4 linked regions of the Pelodiscus sinensis genome follow. The main gene of each other region encodes a partner of the protein of the gene in region 3 in a complex. Links are inferred from orthologs where the notes say so. Each region holds a gene or a part of one and is shown on either strand. Other genes may lie near its edges.

Region 1 (7,972 bases), on a different chromosome or scaffold from region 3:
TACGCATATCAGATAGTCGATTAGTTGCTTACATCCCTAATGCCATCCTTACAAAGGTGAGCAGCAGCATTCAAATGCCTTGACCTTGTGATCCTCAGCTCAGAACTTTAATATTTCAGATACTGGAGTAATTACCAAATGGCAGAGGAGTGTGATTTATATTAGTTAGAAATAGGATAAGCAAAGTTGGAAAAGTCAATCAGGAAGGTATGTGGTGTAGCAGATAATGACTTAAGTTTGCCAAGTTGGAGGTGTGTGTTCCATTCCTGACTGCCTATAGTAACCTTCATAAGATGTATCTTTTCAGATAGGGGAACTAGACTTTGAACAGCATATTAAAGGTGAGATTATATATTTTTACAGTTGCCTAATATTTTTATATTGTTTTCTATCCCATGGGTTCTCAATCTGAAGGTCACGAACATCCATCTTTTCTTCTGGCTTAAAGGGAGGAGGGTCCCATACTTTTTCTGTTGTAACAAAAGACCCCAGTAAGGGAAAGACTGAAAATCATTGCTCTACCTTTGTAATCCAATCTAAGTTTTTGCTTATTTAGTTGAGCATCAAGCAGTTTATCAGGCTGTTCTAAATGAAACCATTTAGGTTTTTCCTTGTTATTGTTACAGTTCATTTAGAATCCATTAGTTCAAATGGTTATTTTGAATGTACATTCCTTGTACTTGTGACAATCAGCTAGCTTGTTGCCCAATGCTTCTTTGCCATTGCTATTCTCCCAGACTACGTCTACATTGGCAAGATTTTGCACAAATACTTTTAATGAAAGTTTTTCCGTTAAAGTATTTGCGCAAGAGAGCGTCTACATTGGCATGTGCTTTTGCGCAAGAGATGTGCTTTTGTGCAAAAGCATCCATGCCAGTGTAGACGCTCTCTTGCGCAAGAAAACTCCGATGGCCATTTTAGCAATTGGGCTTCCTTGTGCAAGAAATTCATGTTGCCTGTCTACACTGGCCTCTTGCGCAAGAACACTTGTGCAAGAGGGCTTATTCCTGAGTGGGAGCGTCATAGTTCTTGCACAAGAAGCACTGATTTCTTACATTAGAACATCAGTGTTCTTGCATAAGAACTCCTCGTCAGTGTAGACAGGCAGCATGTTTTTGTGCAGCAAAATCATGCCAATGTAGACACAGCCCAACTGCTTTCTGCTTCTGATATAAAGAATTTCTTGTTTATATATTTGATTTGCATTTCAAATTCTCACATAGCCCTCAGTTTAAATTTTATACTTCATGTGCTCTATCATATGCTCCTTTTTAATGGATAAACTTTGTAGAGACTTAATATGTTTTAGCTGGAATAAACTATTGTGTATTTTAAATTAGCCCTATCATTTTTTTCTGTGCCTTGCTGCGTTAGTGTTAATTTGTACATTTATGTATGGTATGCATGTCTATATAGCTTGCATTACTCCTACGAAAGAGTAATGCAATGAATGAATGAATCTATTTTTCTGTATCTGTAGTTTTGTTTGGCCACAGTATGTATCTGCAGCAGTGCTGTAACCACATTGGGCCCAGGATATAGAGAGACAGGATGGGAAGAGGAAGGTAATACCGTTCATTTTCATTGATTTGAAACACAAGATTTTGAGCTAACATGGCAGTCTTCTGCACAGTAACAGAGCTCTTCTTTCCAACACAAGTTAGTACAATAAAATATATTATCTAAGTGACATTACCTCCCATACACATGATCTACTCAGTCAGACTTGCTGGGTATCAACCTTCTTGTACGTTCATTTATGTGTCTGCATACAGTGCATGCTTGTGTCTTTGTATATAGACTGTGGGTCTTCATAGCACCTTTATTGTGTTTAGTTTGCATCTATCCCCTAGATCCAGTGTCTGTTCCCGAGTAGCATGTGTATCCTCATTCTTGGATGCCCCTGGATGCAATTTGCATGTCTCAATGACCTCCATTTCTCTGGTGCCTCTGTCAGACAGCATTTAGAGTATGTTTGTGTGTCCACCCCCGAAATTCCCTGGAGCATTTTAGTGTTCTCCACCCCCCAGCACAGTATGCATGTTATGTCCCACCCGTAAGCCTGCTCGGGGCGCAGGGCACTACCCTGTGTAACCCTCTCCCCCAGAGCATTAGTTCCTCCTCATGGACAGGGCACAGCACTAACCTGTACCTCTCCCCCCTGTATTAATGGCACGTCCTATGCAGGGCACTCCCTGTGCCCGCTTTCCCCTGCGCTGCAATGTTTGAGGGCCCACCCGCAGTGCAGCGCACCCCCATGCGCCGGGGCAGGATCGGTGCTCGCAGCTGTACGGCGCCTCCCTATCTCTGTTGACAGGCAGCGCCCTGGCCCGAGTGCGGGCCCGTCCCTGGCCCGGGTGCGGCCGTGGCCCCGGCCTGTCAGGCTGCGCCGAACTCGGGGTGCAAGTCCCCTCCCGGCGCCACCCGCCGTGGGGAACCCGCGGGTCTCCGGGCCCGGCTCCGGGGCGGCCCCTCCGCCTGCGCGGGGTAGGGGGTGGCGGGACGTGGGGGGGGGCGGCTCCAGAGGAAGAGGAGGAGACTCGGGTCCGGCCCCGCGCAGCGCCCGCCGCGGCCAGGCCGGACGCGGGGAAGGCAGCCCGGCGGGGGACGAGCTGGTCCCCGACGCTGCGGGGCGCCGCGGGCAGGGGGCGCCGGCCGGGGGCGCGGGGCGCTACTCACTCTCGTCGGGCAGCTGATCCAGCTCCGCCATCTTGAACGAGCCGCGCCGCTTTTTCAAAGGCTGCCTGGCGCGGTGCATTGTGGGGAGGGGTCTGGGCCGTGCGCGAGGCGGCGCTGGCGAACCCGGCTCGCGCTGCTGCCGCCGCCCGGGCTGCTCGAACGCTGCGAGGAGCGCTCGTGCTGCTGGCCGGGATGCAGCAGCGGCGGAGGCGGCGCGCGGGGACACAAAAGGGCTGGGAGGGGCTCGAGGAGCAGCGGAGACAGCTACGGCAGCCCCGGGGGGCTCCTGCTTCCCGGCAGCGAGCAGCGGTCTCAGCCTGAGCGCGCCACCGCAACTGCAGGGCTCCTCTCAGCCCGCGGTATTTGCATGCACCGTCCTTCTCCCTCGCTTCGCAATTTGCTGGGGTCTGTGCCTCACCCCCGCGCGCCGTTTGCTGTAGAGGGAGGCTACCTGGGAGCAGGAGCCGGTTTTCATACTGTTCCCGCAAAGGAGCCACTGTGCTGACCATCCTACTTGTGCTCTAGCTTTGTAAACAAGGAATTCTACCTCCTCTCCCAACTCCTCCCCCCCCCCCCAGCCTGGCCGCCTCCCCTTGGCTGAGGGAGCCGTTGCCGTGAGGCTGCCCACTGATGCAAAACACGCAATTGTTGGTGGTTTGCTCAATAATACCCTCAAGTGTCCTGCTCCGCGATGCAGCACTTCAGGCGCAACTGCATCGATTTCATAGAATACTGGAAAGGATCTGGCAAGGTCAAAAAGAAACATTTAATTGTCAGAAAGTGAGAGTAGCCATAAAGGAGCCCCTAAGGCAGTGGGTCTTAAACTTTTTGGCGATGGACCACCTGGCTTACTGCAAACCTTTTCATAGATCACCAGTTGCTAATGGAAACTCACTGTTAATTACATAATTACACCCAAGCCATTTTCGTAGTGCTGCAACTAGGGAGAACAGTTGTTTAAATTATTAAACAGATTAAGCATTTTAACTTTCTCATGTTAGTTTATCAAGCTTCATTTTACATAAAGTAACATTAATTTATGTCCAACACAAGAGGTTCCCATATTTTATTTATGGTAGCGGTGGGGAACCTTTTTTGGGTTAGGGGCCACTGACCCATAGAAAAATCAGTTAAGGGACCACACAGGAGAAGCAAAAAAACTCCAAAACCCCAACCCTCACTGATGTGACCCCCCAAATGAGACACCTCATTCTTCTGGACTCCAACCCCAAAGAGTGAAGGGGACAATGAGGACTAAGGTTTAGGATTTCCCATAGACCAGGTTTACTTTTCTGGGGTTCCAGAATTAGTGGATTTTGTGGACCCTCTTAGGCGCTGGGGTGGTGACAAAAATGAGGGCTGCCAGTGAGTGGGATAGGGATGCAGGATCTAGGCATGAGGAGGTGAGGAGGACAGGGTGCGGAAGGGAGTTCGGCAGCAGGAGAATGTGGGGGCTCGAGAGAGAGAGTTTGGAGATCGGTGGGGAAGTTATGCAGAAAAGGTGAGGGTGAGAATGCAGCCAACTAGCTGCTCAACAAAACCTTTGTGGCTGCTTAAGTGTGCTCCCATATACGGAAGGGAAATGAACACTGGTGTCTTTCTGGGTTATGATGGAGATTTGTGGTTCTTATGGCAATTATAAGACTCTGAAACTAAGTAAAAGAAGAACATTGATTCACTTTTATATGTAGATGCTGAAGTGGCTATTTATCTTAAAAATCCTAAGCCAACGAGTATTCAATATCATGGAGGGGAGAGATCTCCCTGGCTACGTCTAGACTGGCATTATTTTCCGCAAATGCTTTTCCGCAAATGCACTTTTTACGGAAAAGAGTCCGTGCCAATCTAGATGCGGTTTTGCGCAAGAAAGCCCCAATCGCCATTTTCGCGATCAGGACTTTTTTGCACAAAACAATACCGCGTTGTCTACACTGGCCCTCTTGCGCAAAAGCATTTGCACAAGAGGGCTTTTGCCCGAACGGGCGCAGCATAGTATTTCCACAAGAACACTGACAATCTTACATGAGATAGTCAGTGTTCTTGCGGAAATTCAAGCGGCCAGTGTAGACAGCTGGCAAGTTTTTCCACAAAAGCAGCTTGCCAGTCTAGACATGGCCCCTCAGTTTGACTTGTTTTCTGGCAATCCCAATGAAGTGTTGCCAGTAACTGAGGGGTTAAAACGGGCTGGAAAAGCAATGAGCCCCAGACAGACACAGCTCAGAGCCCTGGTGGAAATAACGAATGAAGGTCTGAGCTGCCAGCAGAAATATGCACTGGCATTAAAAGAAGATAGTCTGCTGGAGACCTGAAGGGGAGCAAATGTCCCAGATCTAATGCCAAGGGGTGCTATAAAATATTATTGAACAATGTACAGACCTGCCAGTTTTCCAGCAATGCCTGCAAATAGGCTGAAATTCTCATTCACACAGAATAAGGTGCAAAGATCATGCTGTGATGGAAGGGGAAGAGGGAGGCAAAGTGGAGAGCAAAGGAAAGTGCAGTTTCTGTAAAGGGAAATTATATCCCCCCCACGTCTTCCCTCTGCTCTAGCCTCACCCCCCTCAGCTCCTTGATCCCCACCCAGCCTGATCCCCTGCATCACCCCCCCCCCCCCGTGCAACCCCTGCCTCCTCTGAACCTTCCCCTACATCCTCCTTCACCCCATCCTGGCCCCACATCCCTGTGCCCCCAGCACACACAACAGCAGGGTAGCAGCACTGGGACTTGCAGCCCCCCAGGAGCAGCAGTGGGGCAAGGAGGGCTGGGGGAGGGGGGAACGGAGTCACTTCCCTGCCTGGCCCAGCCCTTTGTCCAGAGCTTGCCTCTCACCTGTAGGCTGCCACTCCAGGGGTGGGGTGGGGTGGGCAGAGCCTGGGGCTGGCTCCAGCCCAGCCAGGCAGAGCAGGGCACTGGAGGAGGGGTTCCCCACCCCCGCACACACCTCATGGGGAGCAGCTTGGTGCAGCCTAGGCTGGGCAGGGGCAGCCCCAGGGACACAGAGCTCAGCACAAGGTCATGTCGCCCACTCCACTTGCCAGGCTACTCTGACCCCTACGCCATGCAATGCCTGCACCTCCTTCATGCCCTTGCATTGTCCCAGTGGGAAGCCGGAGTTCATGCTTCAGCCTGCAGCTGCACAGTAACCACAAGATTTGAGCCACAATGTGGGCACCCTGCTGGGTGGGGATGGGGAGGCTGTGCTCAAGCCGCAGACTACCCGGGAGATGGCAGCAGACCCCTAACAGTCCACGGACTGCACTTTAAGAACCACTGCTCGCGGGACTACTATACACCTCTGCATTGACTCTGCATGCTGGTATTGATGTGTGTAAGTCTAGGACCTGGTCCCACCTTTTCTTGGGGGGTTCTGAAGAGCTTTAGCTATCCTTCTCACTTGCTCTTGAAACTGATGATAGTCATCTGGTGGGACGGGCAATGTTAAAGAAACAGCCACATCTAGGTACCCTAACGGGAAGTTCCTGAGGCCCCTTGGCACCACACTGGTGCATGCATTGTCTGATCCAGGTGCCAAGGGTAGACTGGATGAAGAATGAAGTGATAAAACAGTCTTCCCGTTCTAAGACCATTTCAAAGGCAATTAGTGAAGCTATAAGCTCTAATATGGCCAACTTGGTTGCTCTTGCTGCTGTAGTACAAGTACTAAAGAAACTGGAAAGCTCTGTAGTAATGTCTCCAAACTGGAAGTAGCGGATTACATCGTATCTGAATTCTCAGACTCAGCAGAACTGGGCGCTACACAGTGATGCTGACAGAGCTGTGGGAACAGAGTGCACTACCAGTAGATGGTAGATCTAATGCAGGAGATGGGGACCTCTGAGCAGGTGGTCACACAAGCTCACTTATTCCAAGGTAAACAGTTTGAGAGGTCTGGGAACACTTCCAAGTCTTCCAGGAGTCGGTGATACCCAGTCTATTGCCAGGACTGGAACCAGAAAAGTGTTAAAGCTCCAAACCAATGATTTATAGGATGCTGGTGAAGCTGAATCAGAAGGGTAACTTGGTTACATGAATGGTGTAACCTCTTGTTGCTCTTTTGAGCCTTGGAATATGCTCTTCGTCCATGGCTGGAACACATGGTTTCTTGGATTTGGAGGAAGACTTACTGCCCTGTTTATGCACAGTGCTTCCATGGCTCATGGATGGGCCCCAGTGTGGGGTCAGTAGAGCTGGACAGAGACTCTGTGGTAAGGGGAGAGGTCTCCAGTCAGGATTCTATTGTGACATGGCACAATGGCAACCCCCATGAGGTGTTTGTTGAGGCAGAGAGCTTGGCCTTCCCATGTTTGGTCAGAGGAGACATGGTCTGGGCTGCCCTCAAACAGTGTTGGTGCTTGTTGCTAATGGGAAATGAGCGAGGGTAAGAAATGCAGGCTCTGAATCCCAGTGTCATCAGCATAAACCAGTTCCCGGGGGGAATGACACACGACATGTGAATTGTTTGATTAGGGAATCTTGGCTCTTTGGCACTTTTCAAGTCCTAAATCCTATAAAACTTCTGGGAACTAGAAAATTACTGAAAAAACAATAAAATGCTAGCTATGAACAAAAGTAGTTTTTCCTATGAGTTTGGAAAATGCATTCCCAGGGGCGGAAGCAGCTTTGGCTAGGACCACATGGTGGTGAACAGGTATTGGAGACATGGCCAGTCCTCTCCGCCCATTATTGCCAAAACCACAATGCAGTACAAAGGTGCATGTGTGCAATATGAGTAATACTACTTTGAAAACATCTGGTTCTAGCCACATGCCCATAATCCTCATGGGATACATCACACAAAGAAAGGTAGATTCATACCATCTGTTTGCCTAATTTCACACATTTGGATCCTTTATATGGGAAACTTAAATAACTGAAATTATGAATTATGAAGAATTCTTCTGTAAGAAACCCAGTGCAATCAGTGTTTTGGGGAGGAGATTTTAGGAGAGGTTCTTTCAACAAACTTTGTGCTCAAAAGCAGTTTAATTGAGCAGACTAGGCAACACGAGCATCCAGTCTCCATCCAGCAATTCAGAAACAATACTGCTTCTCTAAAAAGGGAATTATTTTACAGCCTTTCTTCCTGTTATTTTTCAGAGTGACTGAGGTGTATCAACACAAGAGATGCACATTGCATAGTATGAATAAGTAATTGCAGCAGGGAGATTCAAATGGAGATGGTTACCTTAAATGCATTGTTTGTATAGTTTTTGCATCAAATATATAATCAGTAGAGAACATCTGATCATTATAGTTACACTGTTTATTATGGTAGCGACACAATACATCCCAT
Region 2 (7,676 bases), on a different chromosome or scaffold from region 3:
GTTAAATTAATTTATGTAGCTATATGAAGTCGTTAACTGTCCACTGAAAGCTAACTTGCATCAAACCGTTCCTTTTCATTCTTTATAGTACAATGATTTTTCAACACACAGGAAGTGGTTATAAAAGAACCATAAGGGTTTACAAAGAAAAATATAAGATTTATCTCAGAAATTTCTCATTACAAAACAGTGCCCACTAATAACAAAATAGGAGTCACTTAAGAATTATTTCCCAGTTTTTCTTCTTGCTTTAGGGTAGGCCTAAATAACCTGACCTATTACTCCTAGGTCTCCTCTAGAGATAATACTTCCTGTTAAACAAGAGAAGCTGACTTGGGAAGAGGAGAGATTTCAGTACTTTCTTTCTTGTAGATACCTATCATGTCATTTTTCTTTCCTATTACCTAATTTCTCTCTTCCTTTCCCAACTCTTATCAAACTTCCTCAACACACTGCACCAGGAGCACCAGATGAGGAGCCATGCCCCTCTCACTTTTTTTTGGCCACTTCTTACTAGGGGTGTGAAAGTGTAACCATGTAAACGTGTGTTTCTTAAACTTTTTAAGACCAAGGAACACCAAACAATTTTTTTTTTTAAATGAGGAACACCAAGGATTTTTTGTTGAGAGAGGGGAAAAAAGGTGGGGGAAGGGGAGAGAATACATCAGGGGAAGTTATTGAACCCCCCCCCAAAAAAAGGTCGCCTGCCCCTTTAAGGGTGGCCATTTTGAATTCTGTTCTCCACGGTACACTGGTGTGCTGTGGCACATAGTTTAAGAAACACTGATGTAAACGGTTAACCAATGAACATGTTTAACCATGTAAACAGTTAACCGATGAGCCAACTGCCATCCTGTGTGTAACCACTAGTTACGCGGTTACTTCATTACATGCATTTTAACATCTCTACTTCTTACTAGCAACCAGGCAAAAGGAGAAGAAAAGTGAGCAGGGTTTGGGGAGAAAGAGATAGCATGAGGAGGTGGGGGCCACAATTAGGCACCTGTTGTTTCCCCAAACACTTGTACTTTTAGGGCACTTCTGCTGTACATACAATATTCTAAATAGTTCTGAAGTTGTAGGTACCTTTGTTTATAAACATAAATAGCTGAACTGTAAAATACTTTCTAATTTGTATCATAATATAATCAATAATGCATCAGGAACTTCCATTCCCATAGAACTGACATGCTTTCAATATAAAATATTAATATATTATTATATGATCAAGTGGATTTGTGGGCATAGTCTGAAGTAAGAGGATTAACTTGATTTATTCACTTAAAAACATATAAGTATATTCTAGCATACAAACATATTTTTATCAAGCCCTACATCAAACGAATACATAAACCACTGTACCATAACAACATTTCTTTGAGAGAAAAGACAGATGATATATGACCCAGACATTTACTGACAATGTTTTTCTTCAGTTTCTATTCAGAAGTTGAGGTATTTTAAAATACAGTTCCAACACACTTAAGACTTCCCAGTAGTCAATGCTTCTCTCTCTCTCTCTCTCTCTCTATTTCTATACAGTCTTCTATTAAATTGGTTTAACATTTGTAAGAGGTGCCAGATAGGATTTAAACTCTGGATTTGTCTTTTTATAGAACAAATAACCACAGCAAGAAACCATGCAAGTTTTCCCCACATACTGTTTAACATGATCTCCCACCCCCATCTCACAAGTAAAACAGACCAACTGAAATTTCAATGAACTTCAGCAAAGATACCTTTCCAACCCTTTTGTGTATATGGTTTGCTAATTCTACATTTTGTTTTTCCAGCACTATTTCTGGATTATTGACTAAAGTTTGCATTCTGAAACGTGAAGTCTACCTCCACCTCTCTTATACCTTTAGAAGATTTATTGGCCTTCCCTTATTGACCTCAAGTGGGAGCAGAAAGAGTCTCATATTTCACATTTCACACCTTTTAAAGTCTCTTGCTCAGAGAAAAAGAAAGCAGTTTCAAGTGCCCCCCAAATATTTTTCAAAGCATCGCATACATTTATAGTGCAAAACATCTTAACTTTGTGCTGCACATCAGAACTTCGTTGTTTAAGGATATGCTTCTTCATTGAAACTGACAGAACACTACATTGCCAGCTAGGACACAGCCTAACTACCAAGTGAATTAAGCAGCAGACGGCTACACACGGGACCAAATACAGCAGACTCCTGAATCCTCTCACCCCTACCCAGAAACTCCCTTCTCCCCGGGAAAGAGACGGGTGAGAGGAGACGGGCGGAGATACCAACTACAAGGCGCGGGCAGACACTTCCGTGACCTCCAGCTGGGTGTCACGCAGAGGCGAGAAGCGCCAGGCCGGGCGGCTGTCACACGGCACAGCCCAGCTCCCGGCACAGGCCTGCGTGCCAGGCACATTGTGCCACCTCGCTACGGCGGCGAACGGGGACAGCGGCTCCCAGGTGCCAAGCACCCGGGGCTCTGGGCGGGGAGACGAATGCCCAGGGCAGCGGCCCCGGGTCAGGGCGCCGGGCAGGCCCCCAGGGAGAAGCGCACAACGGCCGTTAGCCCCTCGGTGCGCGCGGTGGGGGAGGGGACAGCGCAGCCAGGCTGAGCAGCAGCTGAGCGCGCTCTTCCGCCCCGTGCGTCCGCAGGCCCCGAGCGGGATGGGCCTGGCCAGCACCGGAGCCGAGACAAGGAGCCCGGCGACGGCTCCTCCCTCGCCAGCTGCTCTAGCAGGGAGCCGGCCCCCGGAGGCGCCCCCGGCCGGCTCGGCTCTGCGCTGCCGCCCGAGAGGGTGCCCCGCTAACGCGCAGAGTCCCGGCCAGCCCCACTCACCGTGCTCCAGCCCGGCCCACTCGCCGGCTCCCTCCACAGCCGCACCGAGCCCGGCTCCCTCTCTCCCCCGCACAAGCTTGGCGGCGTCTGACAAGTGCGTTCTCCCATTGGCCGCCCCGCCGCGTGAGGGCCGGCGCCGCCAGCCGCCCATTGGCGCGGCCTTGTGTGTACACAACCCGCCCGCCAATCCCCGAGGGGCAGGGGGCAGGGCGCAGAGCGAGCCTCGAGCGGCCCGAGGCGGTGCTGGCCCGCACCCCGGGGGCGGGATTTGGCCTCTCGGCGGCGTCAGCCCTGGTCCTGTTGGGCGGGGTGAGCCCTGGCCCGGCTGCCTCCCCCTGCACACAAAGGAGTAACTCTCCGGCGGGGCTCCCCGCTCGGTCACACACACACACACGGGGGGGGGGGAGTGACTCCGCCAGCACGGGGAGCCCCAGACTAACCGCCTCTCCCTCGCCGCTCACACCCCTCTCGGGGGAGGAGCGGAGACACGATCTCCCGTGAGGCCCGGGCATGGCCGGAAGGACCGCAACTGTGGGACCCCCATCGTACAATATCCACACCCTCGGCAGGTGTGTCCCCCAGGCTCAGCCCCATCACGTCGCTCTGGCTGAAGTGGAAGTACTTGGGCATACAGAGGTCAAACCACCAAAGTAACCCAATCCAGCCCTGCATGAAACCGTGGAAGGCAGAATGGCTGGGAGTTGACTAGTTCATTAAGTAGTTCATAAGGACATTGTAATATTAGTTTGTGACTGCGGTCATTCATATTTTAACATGTGCTAAGAGGCTCAAATTGCAATAATCTAAATATTTTATACAAATGAGACTACCAAGCAGTGGCGGATTTAGAGTTAGTGGGGCCCTGTGCTTAACTTCATTTTGAGCCACGAAAAAGAACATTAACTCTTTGTGTCCTCCCATTTTTCATTCTTTTTTCTTGATCCTCCTCCTGTATTATAATTAATAAGTAAATGAAAATAAAGTGATTATTTTTTAATGATCTTTCCACATATTGTCTGTACCATTAGATGACTATTGTAAAGTACTTTGGATAAGAGCGCTTTATAAAACAAAACATAATAACCTTTCTTCAGTCCACTTGAATGGAGTTCTCAGAGCACAGTTTTGAGAACTTCTGGTCTAATGAAAGCTTGTGTTTGCATTAACCTAACATGAAAAATATGTAAAAATAAAGTATATGGATGACGCATGAATGGAAAAATAAAAGTTAACTTCCTCTGAAGAAACTTACTCTGTTTAAAAAAAAAATATTCAGATAGCTTTCTTTCCACACTTTTTCTTTGTAAAATTGTCAATTAAATCATGTTAAGTAATATTTTGTAGAGAGACATTTTCAATTGTCAACATTGCTTAACTTGTCAAATGTTCCTGACTCATCGTATTTCACAAATAATTTTTAACTCAATACAGAAAAAGGATGTGCACCAGAAGCATTTGTGACAAGTATTATTAAAAATATTTTCAGAATGGTTTGTACATCTGTAAAGGTTGCCTGCAAACCATCCTGTAAAAGGCTATACAAATCAACTGGTGATTCTGAAGCACAGATCTCATAATTTTTGATAAAATGAAAGAAATGTTTCACTTCACCTGCAAAAAGATTTTTGTCTATGTTCTCTCAGTAGAATTCACTTAATTTCTTACTGTAGTGGCTTTTAGCATCTTCATCTAGACTTCTGTCAGAAAAAAACCATGCAAATTAAATTAACAGTTTTCTTTAGAGATTCATCTCTACTCTGTAATTGCACTACTACTGTGTTACAAATAATACTGATGATCTCAATGATGATCTTCTCGTTGCCTTTTAAATTGATTTCATTGTTTCTAGTTTCATTGAAGATAACTTCCTACTTTTTTATGCTTTTCATCAGATATATCAAAGGAACCTATATTTTCTGTTAATGTTAGTGCCTCTGCTTCCACAGACCTATAGTCATTTCGAACTTCCATGACAAAATTTGTATCTGAGGCTAACCATTGTGCAGCATTCAATAAATGTGTATAAACTTTTTGCAGTGATTTGCTGACTTCATCAATTCTTCATCAAACAACAGTATCATTCTTTTCAAACTTTTCTGCTAAGGAGTTTGCTTCAGTTTTCACACATGGTTTTTCAGAACTTGATGTGGCTATGTCTAATAAAGTTTTCTTTATAACATCATAGCTCATTTTGAAAGCCAAAACAACATCTGCACAAGCAAACCACCTGGTGTCAAAAATTCTTTTTACTGTAAAGTGTTTTCCATTTGCCTGCTCCAAGTGTGATTATAGCGTATTCCACTGATCTGTGGAAACAAAAACAAACAAAAAAAAGCATAGGTGTTTTGAAGTAAAAAAAAAAAATGTGTAGCACCTTCATAATAAGCGGCTGCAGCATTGCATATTAAATTTAAGGACTGCCTGGGAACATGATATGAATAAAGCAGAGGGATTTTCATTGTTCATTCTTGCCTGTAGACCTGAATATTTTCCTGACATATTTGCGGCATTATCAAAGCTCTGTCCACAACTATTTTTGATGTTCAAACCTAAATTTGCAATGATTTCCAAAACCATTGTCTCTAAACATTCAGAAGTGTGGGATTTTAGTCCAACAAAAAACCAAAGAAATCGCTCTATAACTTCACCATTGCCAGTCACGTATATTAAAATTAATGTTAATTGGTGTACATGACTCACATCTGGTGTTCAGTTGACTATTATTGAATAATATTTGGCAGCCTTTACTTCATCAGTGAATTGGTTTCTGAACTGCTCTACCATTATAATAATGAACACATTGTAGATTTGGTGTGTTAAAAAGTTGGTTTTCCCTGAGCCACAATACTGATAATTTTCAAATATTCAGTGAGAAAATTGTTAAACTCATTAAGATATTCAAGACAGGTTAAAAAATTACCTTTTCAATGATGCATCATGTCCTCTCAGAGGTAGTCCCAAAGATGACACAAGCTTTACTGTGGCAACAACAAGTCTATCTAATGAAATAGATTTTGGCCATAATGCAATATCTTCAGGGTAGGTTTCTTCCCTTACTTCGACAAAATTACCAGTATTTTGTAGTTCCAATCCACTTGTTCAACTTTTGCAGTTGTCAACATATAAGAACAAGGGGCCACCATGAAACTAATGGGCAGCAGATTTAAAACGAATAAAAGGAAGTTCTTCTTCACACAGTTCATTGTCAATCTGTGGAACTCCTTGCCTGAGGAGGTTGTGAAGGCTAGGACTATAACAGGGTTTAAAAGAGAAATAGATAAATTTATGGAGATAAAGTCCATAAACGGCTATTAGCCAGTATGGGTAAGGAATGGTGTCCCTGTTTGTCAGAGGATGGAGATGGATGGCAGGAGAGAGATCGCTTGATCATTACCTGTTCCATTCACTCCCTCTGGGACAGCTGGCATTGGCCACTGTCGGCAGACAGGATACTGGGCTGGATGGACCTTTGGTCTGACCCAGTATGGCCATTCTTACGTTCTTATGTCATGATATCCTCACAACTCAGCAAGTGATCAGATAATTGAGATGTTTTCTCACCCTTACTTTTTAATGAATGTCCTTCATTCAGTACTTCAAGATTTTTTAAATAAGATAACAAAACTGTCTTTTTCCTTAGCTACATCTTTTACCTTCGCCTTCATTGTTTTTCTATTTTTGACTGCCAAACTCATAGTATCGCTTCATTATTGCTAAAAAAATTACCTTAATTTTTAGGCAGATTAAAAATGTCTGGAAGAGCAGTTGTGTAGCTACCGGTGGGCCTGAGTCCAGACCACTCATTCTTTGTTTAGGTTTTACATAGGGATGTTAAATTTCAAGTAACTAATTGATGCAATTGATCAAGTAACTGACTAGTCGATGCAATTTACTATTTGATTAATTGATAGGATGCCTCCACCCTAGGGCTGTTGTTACATTTCAAAGGCGAAAGTTCAAAGGTGTTTCAAAGTTGCAGAGCTGCATGGAGTCTGAAGTCAGCAAGGGACTCCCCGGTGACCCTGGGCTCCATGTGCTGCTACTGCTTAGAAATGCCTCAGGGAGCCCGGCATCAGGTTCCTCGCGGCATTTCAAAGCAGCAGCGCAGCGTGGAGCCTGGAATCCCCAGCTGATCCCAGGCTTCATGTGGTGCTGCTTCTTTGAAATGCTGCATGCAGCCTGGGAACACCCCATCTGGCCCCGGGCTGCACGCAATGTTTCAAAGCAGCAGTGCTGTATGGAGCCCAATGTCTGGCCCCAGGTTCCATGCACTGCTGCTGCTTTGAAGTACCCCCTGCCCTCTCCTCCCTTCCCTCCCCCCCCCCCCGGCAGCCTCTTTCTAATAGAGGCAGCAGGGATGGGGGGGAAGCAACTAGTCAACTTGTTTGTTGACCATCAGATAAGTCATGCACATTCCTAGTTTAACACCAGTGGCACCATAATAGTGGCACCATCAGTCTTTTAGGCCCAAGTAAGCCAAAGTCATTCCAATCCTTTTGCAAGGGTTGGGAACCCCCCTGGACAGGAAGCTCTGTCCGTTTGCTTAATCAAAACAAAAGCTCTGTGTCAGTTCAAGCTCAGTGTCAGTTCAAGCTCAGCTTTGTACCCCCTTCTTTGAGTCTCTGGAAAACCTAGTTTGAATTGATATGTGCAAATACTAGGGGGGCGGGGTGGAGTGGTTTTCTGTTGGAATTAGGTCTGAGGGGATGACTACCCTGGAGGTTGTAAAGTTCCTGGAATAGTTAGTAACCTTCTCCAATCAAGTAAAACACATTCATACATAAACATTAATACATTTAATATAATGGCTCCCAAAGATACTGCATGGGATTGTAATCACAGCCTGGAACACAGGCAGCTGC
Region 3 (7,184 bases):
GTGTGTGTGTGTGTGTGTGTGTGTGTGTGTGTGTGTGTGTGTGTGTGTGTGTGTGTGTGTGTGTGTGTGTGTGTGTGTGTGTGTGTGTGTGTGTGTGTGTGTCTTCCCCCTCCCTCCCTCCCGACGGAGGTCAATTTACTTTGAATGGGACTTGATCCATCCTGCATGCAATTTTAAGTGACCAAATGCTTGCTTTTGCCCTCCCCCATCGGTTCACGAATTGTTCTGGGGGTTTTGATAGGGAAGCAGGCAGCTGGCTAGAGCTGTGGCTCACAGAGGTATGTGTACCCCTTGGTGTATGTAGAGGTCTACTGGGGGAGTGGGGTGTACATCAAGTCATCTAGATAGTTGGCTAGTTTTACTACAGGCTACATAAAAACACTAGTGAAGCCAGTACACACTAAAACTTCATACAATGCCTAATCTATACTTCTCTATATACTGTGCACTGAAATTGGAACATATATACTGTACTCCTATCTTACTAGATATTTTAGAAATCTGAGACCATTAAGAGAAGTTCTTGAACAAATGGAAAGAGCTAAGACCACCAAGTTTGGTATGCAGCTTCGTCTTATCACCTGGTTTGGGGTTTCATTGTGCTAGGATAATGGGATGTGCCTGGACTTTCTCATAGAATAGAAAGGGAGAACTCGGGTAGGAAGGCCAGTTATACTGCAGAATGACGGCAGAGAGAGGTCAGAGATAGGGACCAGGATAGCTTTAACCCCATTGAGCCAGAAGGTGGCAGAGGTAGATAGCTATCTACTATATATTTCAGAGTCTGTGTCTGTCCTCTAGCCAGAGGACATGCGCGCCTCCCCTGGCTGTGCCCACTGCAGTGGTCATGGTCAGGCACTTCTCACCTGGTCCCAAGCTGCTGCAGTGAGGGAGGGCTGGGGTTGTCTTCTCTTCCCCAAAGCAGCCTGCATCCTGGACCTCTCAGCCCAGCCCCATTCCAGGGCAATGATTTAAATGAAGGAAAAATAAAAATGGAGTCAAGGACCTGAGCAACACCAGGTAAATCTTCTAGTAGATTTAGAATTACATGGCTAAAAATGAGAAAATAAGCAACTTTTCAGTAAGTGTTCTGGGACTTTTTTTCCTTTTGTAAGCAAGTAGTTTAAATGAGCTGAGACTTGAGTGTACCAATACATCAGATTCCTGAAGGGGGTGCAAAAGTCTAGTAAGATTGCACTGCCACATTCCTTTAGGTCAGTGGCTTTCATCTGCTCAAAGGTTTAGTTAACTTGTATGTAGGTGCTGAGTAGAGATGAGAATGGTTAACCCATGCCTGGGAGCAGCCCATCTTACCCCCCCTCCCCACTCTACCATGGGGGGTGCTTGCGGGAGCAGGAGCCAGCACCATTCTTCATGCTGGGCTTGGCTTCTGCCTCCTGCTTCCACCACCACTTCCTTCTCTCCCCCCCCATGGGGGAGGGGGAGAAGGAGGGACTTAGCTCAGCAGAGGTGAGTGACTGTGATCGTGGTTGACTGGGATTTTACAGCCCTAGTGCTCTGTGTTTAGGTACCTACTACAGTAACCAGGAAATTTCTGGTTACTGTAGTATCAAAACTGGGCTTTATGTACCTTTTGGATTTGGCCTACATGTTAAACTAACTTCCACATTCTTCAATCTGTTACACCACCACTGATGTCAATCTTCTCAGATAAATTAATAACTCTTCAAAGCCCCTAACTTACAGACAATAGGGGGGGTAGTCTAAAACTACTCTAACCCAGTTAATAGACTGGTGAAGTCATGTTTTTCCCCTATGAAGGGAAAAACATACGTCTCAATTAATTGCAACTGAGACCCCAAAAGCTACCAGCTGCTGTCTGTTAGCTCTAGGCTGTGGCTAGCTAATATCATTACCATCCCCCATTAGGACAGGAAGTAAAGTGCTCTCTGGCCACTGAAAGGGCAGATCTAAATGCACAACCTGCAAACACCTGGCCTGGAACCAGGGTTATGCTGATCAGAGTCAGGAGAGGGAATAACTTCACCATTCTGAATGTGGAAGTTAGACTGTGGGGAGCAAGTAAGAGTTTTCTATCCCAATATGTGAAACCCTTCTGGCTCCTGAGTTCAAATATCTCCTGCGGGGTGGGGCCGGGCTGGCAGTCTCATGGCTGCGTTTGGGGAGGAAGTCCCCTCTCCCGCTGACTGCTCTGTAGCACTAAGTGACAGCGGTACCCCACAAGCTGCCCTACCACTTCTGTCGTGCTGGAGCGATTTCTCCGGGGTTGACTTTAAGGCAGAACTTAAGGTTTTTCTGCGGGAAGAGCCATTCACAGTCTCATCCCGGCATCTCTGCCCCGCTTCATCGCGGGTCACGCCCCTGAGTGAGCATCCCCCCACGGGACTGGTCCCTGGGGGGGGGGGGGGGCGCACAAAGAAGCAAGAGGGCTGCTCACAAGCGCCTTTCCCTCCGGGAGCCCCTCCCCACTTAGAGGGGGGCGCTCGGGTCCGGGACCGAGACCAGCCTCTCCCCCTCCCCGCGAAGGGAGCTGCTGCCAATCGCCTGCTGGGCGCAGGCTCAGCAGCGCTCGGGCCCGGGCGAGCAGGCGCGGCGGCAGGTGGGTGGGCGAGAGCAGAGGGAACCCCCCTTGTCCCGTGTCCGCCCGCGCCGGCCGGGAGCAGCCCGCCTGGGGGGGAGCAGGGCCCGGCTCGCCGAGTGGCCGGGGAGGGGAGAAGTTACTTAACCCCCCGGGCTGAGTCAGGCCCGCTCGGCCCCTCCCCGGGAGACGCGGCGGCCCCGGGGAGCCTCGCCGGGAGGGGGGGGGCGAACACGTGCGGTTACCTCAGCAACGGCCCCCGGGCGGCGGGGCGCGGCAGGCCCGCCGCCATGCCCCGCTCAGCATCCTGCAGGCCGCGCTCCGCCTAGGCCGGGCGGCGCGCTCCGCCGCGGCGCGCCCAGAGCGGGACACGGGAGGGACATGGCGCCCGGGGAGCCAGCCCGGCGGCGGGGCTGAGGATCCCTCTTCAGGCAGGAAGGAAAACAGCCGGTGGGTACGGGAGCCTGGCGAGGACAAAAGAGGGGAGAGCCGAGCGGACCCGCGGATGTCACTGGCCCCGCTAATCCTCCTGATTGTAGTACAGGTAGTCCCCGGGTTACATACAAGATAGGGACTGGGGGGTTGTTCTTAAGTTGAATTTGTATGCAAGTCGGAACTGTACATGTTGTAGGGGAAACGCTAGCCAAACATTTCTCCAGCGCTCAGTTTTATTCTCCCACACCTCACTTCCCTCAGTCCTTTATTCTCAAGCTGAGGTGTCTGCTGAGAAAAGCCGCTCCGCGTCTCCCTGGTCTGCTGGGGGGGGGCGCTAGCTCCGCGTCTCCCTGGTCTGCTGGGGGGGGGGCGCTAGCTCCGCGTCTCCCTGGTCTGCTGGGGGGGGGGGCGCTAGCTCCGCGTCTCCCTGGTCTGCTGGGGGGGGGGCGCTAGCTCCGCGTCTCCCTGGTCTGCTGGGGGGGGGCGCTAGCTCCGCGTCTCCCTGGTCTGCTGGGGGGGGGCGCTAGCTCCGCGTCTCCCTGGTCTGCTGGGGGGGGGGCGCTAGCTCCGCGTCTCCCTGGTCTGCTGGGGGGGGGGCGCTAGCTCCGCGTCTCCCTGGTCTGCTGGGGGGGGGCGCTAGCTCCGCGTCTCCCTGGTCTGCTGGGGGGGGGGGCGCTAGCTCCGCGTCTCCCTGGTCTGCTGGGGGGGCGCTAGCTTCGCGTCTCCCTGGTCTGCTGGGGGGGGGGCGCTAGCTTCGCGTCTCCCTGGTCTGCTGGGGGGGGGGGCGCTAGCTTCGCGTCTCCCTGGTCTGCTGGGGGGGGGGGGGGCGCTAGCTTCGCGTCTCCCTGGTCTGCTGGGGGGGGGGGGGCGCTAGCTCCGCGTCTCCCTGGTCTGCTGGGGGGGGGCGCTAGCTCCGCGTCTCCCTGGTCTGCTGGGGGGGGGGCGCTAGCTCCGCGTCTCCCTGGTCTGCTGGGGGGGGGTGCTAGCTCCGCGTCTCCCTTGTCTGCTGGGGGGGGGGCGCTAGCTTCGCGTCTCCCTGGTCTGCTGGGGGGGAGGGGCGCTAGCTCCGCGTCTCCCTGGTCTGCTGGGGGGGAGGGGCGCTAGCTCCGCGTCTCCCTGGTCTGCTGGGGAGGGGTGGCACTAGCTTCGCGTCTCCCTGGTTTGCTGGGAGGAAGCAGCTAGTGCGGGGTTGCCTCACCCCGTTTGTAAGTAGGGATCCGATGTAGGTCGGATCCATGTAACCCGGGGACTGCCTGTATTGCAGAGGGGTCCCCATGCTAGACACGCCTCGTGTCCACTCAAGGCAGAAGTAAGAACAGGCTTAATGCGCAGCAAGATGCTCTAGGTTAGCTATCGGTAACGCTTTTTGCTAGCCTAGAAGGGCAGTTAGGCTGCTACGGGTACTTGTGGAATCTCTGAAGCAAAATACAGGACTATGTAGCACTTTAAAGACTAACAAGATGGTTTATTAGGTGATGAGCTTTTGTGGGCCAGACCCACTTCCTCAGATCAAATAGTGGAAGAAAATAGTCACAACCATATATACCAAAGGATACAATTAAAAAAAAATGAACACATATGAAAAGGACAAATCACATTTCAGAACAGAAGGGGGATGCAGGGGGGAGGGGGAGAAGGAAGGTAAGTGTCTGTGAGCTAATGGTATTAGAGGTGACAATTGGGGAAGCTATCTTTGTAATGGGTAAGGTAGTTGGGGTCTTTGTTCAATCCCCCCCCCCCCCCCCGGGAGAGTGTCGAATTTTAGCATGAATGACAGTTCAGAGGATTCCCTTTCAAGTGCAGATGTAAAAGGTCTTTGTAGTAGAATGCAGGTAGTTAAGTCGTTGAGACAGTGTCCTTTCTGGTTGAAATGGCAAGAAATTGTTTTTTCTTTGTGATCCTGTCTGATATCTGTGTTGTGGAATCTCTGTGATTCAAGGTAATAACACATACAGATTGTAATTTTTTCACAGACTACATGAAGACGTCATGTTGGAGAAGTGAAGCACCATTACCCCCATGTCCTAGAGGGGGGTGGGAGGAAATAACTATCTAGTTCAGGGATATAGAGCCAGGAAAAGGTTTCAGGTCCCACTTAAAATCTCTATTTTACAAGCTTGGCAAGTCACTTCTCTTAATTTTGCTAAATCACAGCGAAGAACAGATCTTGGATCTCATGCCTCCAAGACCTGGCCTTTAAGAGAAGATGTTCCTCTTTGTTTCTAAAGCACCTGAAGCCTTTTTTCATGTAGGAGTTATGTTGGGGCAGTTTTTAGTCACCTTTTCTTGTGCAAATGTGAATGAGTAACCCATTCCTTAAGTAACAGTTAACCGGTTCCCTTGGAGCATCCAGCTCTACATGGGGTGGGGAATGGGAGCCCCATAGACTGGGGGCTGCTCCATCCAGGCTGGAGCACTACCCCACTTGGAATCCTGCTTAATCAGTTAACCAGTTAAATGTTAGGAATCCCTTAGTCAGTTAACTGATTTAATCAAGATTTTACATCCCTATTTGCAATTTAGGAATGTGCCAGAGGGTTATCAGGAAGGCGAAAGCAAAATTGGAATTGCAACTGGCAAAGGATGTGAAGGATAACAAGAAAGGTTTCTACAGGCATGTTAACAAGAAGAAGGTGATCAGAGAGGGCGTGGGACCCTACTGGATGAAGGAGGTAACCTAGTAACAGATGATGCGGGGAAAGCTGAAGTACTCAATGCTTTCTTTGCCTCTGTATTCACGGACAAGGTCTGCTCCCAGCCTAATGTGCTAAGTGATGCAATATGGGACGAAGGAGGACAGCCCTAAGTGGGGAAAGAACAGGTTAGGAACTATTTAGAAAAGCTAAACGTACATAAATCCATGGGTCCGCACTTAATGTATCCGAGGATACTGAGGGAGTTGGCAAATGTCATTGAGGAGCCTTTGGCCATTATTTTCGAAAAGTCATGGAGATCCGGAGAGATCCCGGATGATTGGAAAAAGGCAAATGTAGTGCCCATCTTCAAAAAAAAGGGAAGGAGGACGATCCTGGAACTAGAGGTTGGTCAATCTTACCGCAGTTCTTGGAAAAGTCATGAAAGGGATCCTTAAGGAATCCATTTTGAGGCACTTGGAAGAGAGGAAAGTGATTAGGAATAGTCAGCATGGATTCACAAAGGGCAAGTCATGCCTGACCAATCTGATTAGCTTCTATGATGAGATAACTGGCTCGGTGGACATGGGAAAGTCAGTGGATGTGATAAACCTTGACTGTATCAAGGCTTTTGATATGGTCTCCCACAATATTCTTGTCAGCAAGTTAAGGAAATGTGGATTGGATAAATGGACGGTAAGATGGATAGAAAGCTGGCTAGAAAACCAGGCCTGGCAGGGAGTGATCAACAGCTCGGTGTCAGGATGGCAGTTGCTTTCTAGCGGAGGGCCCTAGGGTTCAGTTCTGGGACCAGTTTTGTTCAACATCTTAACTAATGACCTGGATGAGGGGATGGATTGCACCCTCAGCAAGTGTGCAGATGACCCTAAGCTAGGGGGAGAGGTAGATACGCTTGAGGGCAGAGATAGAGACCAGAGTGACTTAGACAAATTGGAGGATTGGGCCACAAGAAATCTGATGAGGTTCAGCAAGTACAAGTATAGAGTCCTGCACTTGGGACGGAAGACTCTCAAGCATTGTTACAGGCTGGGGACTGAATAGCTAAGTACAGGCAGTCCCCGACTTACGCGGATCCGACTTACGTCGGATCTGCACTTACGAACGGGGCTTTCTCGCCCCGGAGGTCGAGGTAGCGGATTGCTACCTGCGAGCTCCGGGGCGAAAAAGCCCCGTTCGTAAGCTGCTCTGGTGCCCATGGTCTGCTGGAGACCATCTCCAGCAGACCAGGGGCACCGGGCAGGGTGCCGCGCCTCTGAGGCTTTGCTCTGGCAAAGTCTCAGAAGCGTGGGGAACCGCCGCTGCTGCCGCTTCAGTCCCTGTGCCTGTGGTCTGCTGGGGACCGTCCCCAGCAGACCACAGGCACTGGGACTGAAGCCGCAGCCGCGGGGGGTCCCGCGCCTCTGAGACTTTGCCAGAGCAAAGCCTCAGAGGCGCGGCACCCCGCTGCCGCTGCGGCTCTGCTCCCGGTGTCCCTGGTCTGCTGGCGGGGGGGGGGGTGCGGCTAGTGTGCCCCGCCCCCCCAGCAGACCAGGCTT
Region 4 (7,871 bases), on a different chromosome or scaffold from region 3:
TTAAAATAAGATACCAACCCAAAAGTGAAATTCTAGATGATTGTATCGAAGTAACAAGACACTGACCATTCTGACACTAGGCTACTGCACTACGTTTTTTCCATTCAACACTTCTAAAACAGTCACATGGCCATTTTGTAAAATGTATCAGAAAACAGCAATCTTAAGAAAAACATAAATATTTGCTGTATTAAAATATTTGTTAGTTAAAGCACAAAAGTATGAAAATAAAAACAAAAAAATAAATTACTCTCCAGCCAAGAATTCTAGGATCTCACATAAAGATTCTTCAAACAATTAGTCATCAACATACAAGATCCTTCAAAGTTAGAGTTTAAGCCCAGAGGGAACTACCAGATCACTTTGTCTGACCTCCTGTATATCACAGGACACCCACACACAAAACCAAGCAAACTAAATTAGACCAAAATATTACAGCCTATAGGAAACTAGAAGGTTGGTCTGAACTACAGAGTTAGTCAGCATAAAGCAGCTTACATAGATCTCACTTTGTAAGTGTCTACACTCCAACGTTGCTCCTGACGATGCATGTCACCCATTACTCCAGGAGGCATAGAGCTTGCATTGATGCATTCAGGGCAACAGTCCTGTGTAGACACTGCATTATTTACATTGCCTGGTGGCGCTCAGTCCTAGGGATGGGGGTTTCAGCTGACCACCAACAGAACCATAGACATGATTCACCACAGTAAATATCAAGGTTGCTGTATTTTGACTTAACTTTGTAAAAGGTCTCAGAATAATAGGGACTTGAGGTGTGGCACCAATGTTTAAGGCAACTGCAATGGCAGGGAACTGATTAAATGAGATATACTCTGATAATTGGGAGAAATGGCCTGCACCTCATATTGCAAGCACAAAGTAAAAAACCGTAAGGTCACTGGAAATCTGACTCAGAGGAAAATTCCTTCCCAACCAACAAATGGTGATCACTTAGACATTAGGGATGTAAATACCCAATTAAAAAGTTAACCAGTGCTACATTATGTAATTTTAATTGGTTAAATTGTCAGTCATGGAGGGGGTGGGGGAATTGTGCAGAGCTGCTGGCATCTCTAGCCTGGCTTCTTGCCTGCTGGCCTACTGTACCACAGGGCTGCTCCAGCCAGCTGGACCCACCATGGTTTAACTGGTTACCAGGTAAGCATGCTGGTAAGGCTAAGTTTAACCAGTTAAAACTTTTACATCCCAATGAGACAGTGCAAATGAGGTGACACTGGTACTGTTGCATCTGATTTCAGTTGGCCTGTATTTTCTTTTTGGGGACATGGAGGGGAGACGGCCAAAAGTCAAACATTTGGCCCTGAACTCCTTAAAAAAAGTTACAACTCACACAAAACAAAAATGCTCTCAATACTTAGGACAGGGGTAGGGAACCTTTTTTGGGTTGAGGGCCACTGACCCACAGAAAAAATCAGTTGAGGGCCACACACAAAAAACCCTCAGACTAAGAGAAAGACACTCCACACATTCTCCACGCCTGGGGGGCCCAGCCTAATATATTTTGTGTGCTGCCCCACCATGGGGCAGGGAGCTGGAGCTAGAGCGCCAGCACAAGATCCCTCATGCAAGGGGGGGTCTGAGCCTTGGGGTTGGATTCGGGCAAGCTGTGGATCTGAGGTTCCCCATCCCTGACTTAGAAGCTGTCATACCTCAAAAATGGGACACCCTTCTCCCCCCAAACACCAAACAAAGAGGCAGCTTACAAAGGAAAAGAAATATCCTCAGAACTTCAACAGAGTCAGAGAACCTCCTCTCTTCTTTAGATATGTGGGAGGATTCATCAGGTATACAAGTCACACATGAGCCCACTGCATTTACCTATGTGATTTTCAGTTATAAATTTGACCTAATTGTAGCTGTATCTTTAAAAAAAACAAAAAAACACTAGATTCATCTTCCAATATAGCATTGATATTAGTTCTACTATTCTCAATTTTGCAAAACACTACCATAATAAAGCTGACAATTTCGACATGTGGCATGCCATTTTGTACTGCAGAGATGCACATCAAGATGAACTTTTGTAATGATTCATCACACTCTATATACTGCCCTATATCTAAACATCCTTATTTATATAATGAGGCAGGCAGGGGAAGCGAAAATACTAGGCACGTTTATTTTGATTTTTTTCCCCCAAGAGATTGCTAGAATGAGGGCCCAAACTGTAAGCCCTGCTTTTCTCTCCTTTTGATCTTTGCTGAAAAAGAGCATGTCGCAGTGAGTCTCAGCTCTTGAGATCTTGAATTCCTTAACATTTTCTAGGGTTAAAGCCACATAAAGAAAGCTCCTCCTTACTATTCAATATATTACACAAATGACTTTAAAATGCCAACCCATTCGTCAGAACAGTCACACATAACCAATGATTTTATTTTTCACGCGCAGGGTCGGCTGTTTCCCTGGCTACTATGGACTGGCAGTGACAAAGGGACAAACAGTCAATACACCCACACACCGGGGCACAAGCCACAAAGGCCCACCCGCTGGCGGGGCACGGCCCCGGCGCCTGCATTGCCAAGGCAGCCGCGCAGACAGCTCAGGCCGGGGCTGCACCGGCCGGATCCCCGGTGCCCGAGGGGCGCAGCGCCAGGAGCGGCCGCGCAGGGCTGCGCCGTGGGCTGGCCGGGCCTGCGCCGCCCGCCCCGGGAGCTGCGCCCAGGCGGCGGCAGCGGGGACCGACTCCTGGCGCTGCAGCCGGGGTCCCCCTCCCCGGCCTGTCCCCGCAGCCAGGGAGCGGGTGGCCCCCAGGGATGGGGGGGGGCTGCACGGCGACGCGCTGGGCTCCCCCCTGACACCCCTTCCTGCTCCCTCCCTTCCCCCCACCCCGCTGGGCCCCCCGCGCTCACACTCACCGGGCTCGCGCTCCCCCCTCCCCCGGGCTCGCGCCGCGGCTGCCCCCTCCTCCTCCCCCTGGGCTCGCGCGCCGCTCTCAGCAGCGGCAGCACCAGGGACAGGTTCCGTGTTTGTTCAAAATCACGCGCCCAGCGCCATTCCACCGCCACATCCCATAATAATGCGCAGCGCCGCCTTGGCAACCGACATAGCGTCACCAAGCGAGCGCAGCTCCTCCCTCTCCCGCCCTTTGGGGCCGGCGCTTCCTTCCAGCCGTTTCCGGGTGCGTCATCGCATCCCGTTGGCTCGTGACCATGTCACGTGCCGCTGCACAGGCACGCAAGGGCTGGCAAGTGCGCAAGGTGAGAGGAGAAGCAGGGGTAGGTGGAGCCTTAAGGAGGAGCCCGGGTGTGCGTGTGTATGGTGCTGCGTGTGCAGCCTGCGTCTCCCACTGATCTGAAATGGTTGGGGAACAGCTGAGAGAGGCCTGGCGATAGTGATGCATTGGGTAAGCATTCCAGCCTCCTCTACTTGTAGCACCCTTCTGGGCACTGGATGCGTGCACTCTGCTATACTGCCCCATAGATAGAAACTGTTTAAGTCAAAACTTAAAACTAGAAGCACCTTAAAGACTAACAAAACATGTAGGTTGCATCTAGACTGGCATGATTTTGCAGAAATACTTTTAAAGGAAAAGTTTTTCTGTTAAAAGTATTTCAGCAAAAGCGCATCTAGATTGGCACGGATGCTTTTGCGCAAAAAGTGTTATTGCGCAAAAGCATCTGTGGCCAGTCTAGACGTGATTTTGCACAAGAAAGCCCCGATCGCCATTTTAGCTACTGGGGCTTTTTTGCGTAAAACAATTATTCCCTGTCTGCACTGGCCCTCTTGAGCAAGTATTCTTGCGCAGGGCTTTTTCCTGAGCAGGAGCATGAAAGTATTTGCGCGAGAAGCACTGATTTTGTACATTACAAAGTCAGTGCTCTTGCGCAAATTCAAGCAGCGTGTAGACAGCTGGCAAGTTTTTGTGCAAAAGTGGATGCTTTTATGCAAAATCTTGCCAGTCTAGACGCACCAATAGAGGGTGATATGAGCTTTCATGGGCAAAACCCACTTCTTCATATGACTGGAATATATCTGAAGAAGTGGGTTTTGTCACAGGAAGCTCATGATACCATCTACATGTTTTGTTAGTCTTTAAGATGCTACTAGACTATTTATTGTTTTTAAATTTTTTCCTGTTACAGACTAACTCAGCTATCCCTCTGAAGCTGCTTGGCTGTGTCTAGACTGGCCAGTTTTTCCGGAAAATCAGCCGCTTTTCTGGAAAAACTTGCCAGCTGTCTACACTGGCCACTTGAATTTCCGCAAAACCACTGATCTCATGTAAGATTGTCAGTGTTTTTGTCGAAATACTATGCTGCTCCCTTTCGGGCAAAAGTCCTTTTGCGCAAATCTTTTGTGCAAAAGGGCTGGTGTAGACGGCTCAGATTTGTTTTCGGCAAAAAAGCCCCGATCGCGAAAATGGCGATCGGGGCTTTTTTGCGGAAAAGCGCGTCTGGATTGGCACGGATGCTTTTCCGCAAAAAGTGCTTTTGCAGAAAAGTGTCCGTGGCAATCTAGACGCTCTGTTCCGAAAATGCTTTTAACGGAAAACTTTTCCGTTAAAAGCATTTCTGGAAAATCATGCCAGTCTAGACGTAGCCCTTAAGTCAAGACACTGAAAAACAGGCAGTGAGTGGTTCCAGTCTTGTTACATCTATAAAATGGGCTAACAAGTGACAGCTTCCTAAGCACTGGGCAAACCTTTCATGAAAGGTGATATGGAAGTGCAACATATGGCATTGCTTTTACCTTGAGCATACACCCTCTTGCAAGGGAAATGTATTCATTCTGTTTAGCTTCTGTACCATAGGTATCCTCCACTTATTTGTAGGGTATGAACAAACCAAGGGAATTTTCCTCACCTCTTAATTATTGGTTTTCTCTCCATTAAAACATTTATCTGCAGTGTTTGCAACTCAAATGTCAGTGTACAAAAAAATAAAAAAAAAAATTGATCTCAGTCTCTTTCCATGGTTCCAGCTGAAGCACAATCCTGAAGATAGCTGCCTGACATTTAAGTAAATAGAACACTCCTTTTGAAATATGAGCTGAGTCCACCTCTCCACTTATGAAAAGCAGCACTCTTGTATGTAGGTGCTATATTTGAAAATTTTAGTTTACATATCCGGACCTCAGTTATACACTGGTAAAATAGGAACAGTATAATTATTCATCTACTTTTAGATAAAACGCTATACACAGATTAGAAAAGGAAAATAAATACTGTAATGTCTGAAATCTTCTGATAACGTATGTACGACAGCCATGCTGTGTACACCACTGAAACACAGCCGACAAGCAACACAGTTCGGAAAGAAACAGAGCTACAAAATATTCCACTCATCAGGCTCTGGCCCTGCTTCCTTCTCTGACCCGAGAGACCGCATGGGAAGGAAAGAACTTATCATCCATCCCTCTCACTGGGGCATGAGATCCTGCATTTCCAGACCTGCCATCTGCACCAGCCAGGCGGGCAATACTGGGAATGACACCTTCCGGAGAAATAGCTCAGAGCGCCTCTCCTGGCCTTAGAGGGAGGAAGGGACTGAGGGTCCCCTCCCAGGTACAGAGTCTGCTTTCGTGTGGGGCCGGGTCAGTACGTCAACCCGCTGGCGGATCAGCCCTTCCGCATCCCAGGGAGGCAGCAACTGGCCAGCAGCGCTCGCGAGGAGGGAAGGACTCCGGGCTGGGAAGGCGTCACGTGACCCTTTTCTCAGGGGCAGGAGCCTTTCTAGCCGACGCTCCTCTATGATACAGCGGGGACGCGGCGGCGGCGGCTTCCCTCTCGTTGGCAGGGGGAGGACCGCGTCTGTCAGTTTGCGCGAGACAAGATGGCGGCCGCGGTGAGGCAGGAGCTGGCCCAGCTCATGAATTCCAGCGGCTCCCACAAGGACCTGGCGGGGAAGTGAGTGCGGGCCGGGCTGGGGGGAGGGGGCGCTCCCGGCTGAGGTGAAGGCGGTTGGCGGGTGCTTGAGGACTAGTCGGGGGTTGCAGGGTCCTGCTTCCTCCGCGAGCCGCGGCCCCTGTGCCTGGCAGGGCGGAGGCGCCCGGGTCTGTCTTGTCACTTCGTGAATGGCAGACGATTAACGGATAAAACGGATTAACGGAAAAACCTGCGCTTATTATTGGTCAATGCTGTCGACTGCACCTACCTACCCCGCCCCCCCCCTCCCCCGCTGCCTCGGGGCGGGGGGATTAACCAGACCCCCCCCCCCTCTCCATTTAATTTAACCAAGGGGCTGTAGATGCTGCAGGCTGGTGCTGAACTGTCCGTTTCAGAACAGTCGGTGTTCCCAGAGCCTTGGGCTTGAAAGACAAAAGAACCCATCTGATGCCCATTGTGTCTTTTTCTAGAGCCAGAGCAATTGTACGGAGAGAGGCGTCCGAGCTTTAAATTCCTTTTAAAAAATCACGTATTTTCTGCGCCGTTGGTATTATGCAGCAGGGTCTCTTGGGAAAAGCCCTAAAAAACACCACCAAACATATAGGCTGTGTCTACATTGGCACCCCTTTCCAGAAAAGGGATGCTAATGAGACACTTGGGAATTGCAAATCCACGGGGGATTTAAATATCCCCGGGGGATTTAAATATCCCCCGCGGCATTTGCATTTACATGGCTGCCGCTTTTTTCCGGCTCGGGGTTTTTGCCGGAGAAAAGCGCCACTGTAGACGCGATTCTCCGGAAAATAAGCCCTTTTCCGGAAGATCCCTTATTCCTACTTTCAAGCGTCTACACTGGCGCTTTTCTCCGGCAAAAACCCAGAGCCGGAAAAAAGCTGCAGCCATGTAAATGCAAATGCCACGGGGGATATTTAAATAAAAGGATATTAATTGTGATACATTTTTTAATTTTAAATCTATGGGCAGATATCGTCAGATACTGGAAAAAGCAATTCAACTGTCAGGAGTGGAACAACTAGAAGCCTTGAAAGCTTTTGTAGAAGCAAGTAAGTATGTATTTGTTGTGTTTATGCATTGTTGACTGAAGACTTGATGCATGTTGGATTACACATGCAGATAAATATAGTTCAGGCTATGTGAATTTTTGATGTGCTGTCCATATTCAATCTTGCATCTGCATCTGCTTGGAGCACCAATCATCAGTATGTTAAAATTAGAGTAACCAAGCAATTAAACAAATTAATTGCCAATAATTTTGTTGCTAAACAATAATAGTCTATCATTTATTTAAATATTTTAGATATTTTCTACATCTACAAATATATTTATTTCAATTATAATATAGAATACAAAGTGAACAGTACTCTCTTTATATTTTATTACAAATATTGCACCCTAAAATTAAAAGAAATAATATTTTTCAATTCACCTAATATAAGTAGTATAGAGCATTCTCTTTATCATAAAAGTTGAATTTACAAAAGTAGAATTAGATATAAAAAACTGCATTCAGAAATAAAACAATGTAGGCTTTAGTGTTTTACAAGTCCATTCAGTCCTGCTGTTCAGCCAGTTGCTCAGACAGTGTTACCTGAAAAATGAGAACAATTGTTCACATGCACTGTTGAATTACACTGCAAAGTTTCTTCTGTCCCTTCATGCTTCAACCACCATTCCAGAGGACATGTGTTCATGTTGATGATGAGTTCTGCTCGATAACATTCCAAACCAGAGCAGACCGACATATGTTCATTTTCATCATCATTTTCACCACCAGCAAAAGGATGGATTTTCTTTTTTGGTGGTTCAGGTTCTGTAGTTTCCATATCAGTGTTACTCTTTTAAGACTTCTGAAAGAATGCTCCTTACCTCATACCTGTCAGATTTTAGAAGGTGCTTCAGATTCTTTAAACCTTGGGTTGAGTCCTATATAGCGATGTTAAATTTTGATTACCAGCTAATTGAGTAGTCAATAGAATTTCCATCAACCTTGCAATGCTGAGTA

What was found. Proteins that work in one complex are often made in the same cells at the same time.
Region 1: the proteins of MYBL2 (region 3) and LIN9 are in contact, whole or in part, in a crystal structure (PDB 6C48), measured with the Homo sapiens proteins. The link is inferred for Pelodiscus sinensis from reciprocal best matches to the Homo sapiens genes MYBL2 and LIN9. Residues at the interface, in NP_002457.1 of Homo sapiens: Trp663, Ala667, Cys668, Gly669, Gln674, Met677, Gln678, Ala681, Arg682, Leu684, Leu685, Arg687; in NP_001353174.1 of Homo sapiens: Lys356, Gln385, Arg386, Tyr388, Ala389, Thr390, Val392, Leu393, Leu395, Glu396, Asn399, Leu402, Asn403, Leu406.
Region 2: MYBL2 (region 3) and TFDP2 share a complex: the UniProt entries of both Homo sapiens proteins name them as parts of the DREAM complex. The link is inferred for Pelodiscus sinensis from reciprocal best matches to the Homo sapiens genes MYBL2 and TFDP2.
Region 4: MYBL2 (region 3) and LIN54 share a complex: the UniProt entries of both Homo sapiens proteins name them as parts of the DREAM complex. The link is inferred for Pelodiscus sinensis from reciprocal best matches to the Homo sapiens genes MYBL2 and LIN54.

What each region holds. Positions count from the first base shown.
Region 1 is NC_134713.1:157,381,672-157,389,643, forward strand, and holds the start of LIN9 (protein lin-9 homolog), read right to left. Parts: upstream 3,013-7,972; 5' UTR 2,759-3,012; coding exon 2,680-2,758; intron 1-2,679. UniProt on the Homo sapiens protein: Acts as a tumor suppressor. Inhibits DNA synthesis. Its ability to inhibit oncogenic transformation is mediated through its association with RB1. Plays a role in the expression of genes required for the G1/S transition.
Region 2 is NC_134720.1:21,211,034-21,218,709, forward strand, and holds the start of TFDP2 (transcription factor Dp-2), read right to left. Parts: upstream 3,013-7,676; 5' UTR 2,966-3,012; coding exon of another isoform or gene 2,923-2,965; coding exon 2,815-2,922; intron 1-2,814. UniProt on the Homo sapiens protein: Can stimulate E2F-dependent transcription.
Region 3 is NC_134728.1:29,651,161-29,658,344, forward strand, and holds the start of MYBL2 (myb-related protein B), read right to left. Parts: upstream 3,005-7,184; 5' UTR 2,853-3,004; coding exon 2,806-2,852; intron 1,053-2,805; coding exon 867-1,052; intron 1-866. UniProt on the Homo sapiens protein: Transcription factor involved in the regulation of cell survival, proliferation, and differentiation. Transactivates the expression of the CLU gene.
Region 4 is NC_134715.1:11,686,384-11,694,254, forward strand, and holds the start of LIN54 (protein lin-54 homolog), read right to left. Parts: upstream 3,013-7,871; 5' UTR 2,880-3,012; intron 1-2,879. Other genes in the region: COPS4 (COP9 signalosome complex subunit 4), read left to right, coding at 5,796-5,869, 6,833-6,912. UniProt on the Homo sapiens protein: Component of the DREAM complex, a multiprotein complex that can both act as a transcription activator or repressor depending on the context. In G0 phase, the complex binds to more than 800 promoters and is required for repression of E2F target genes.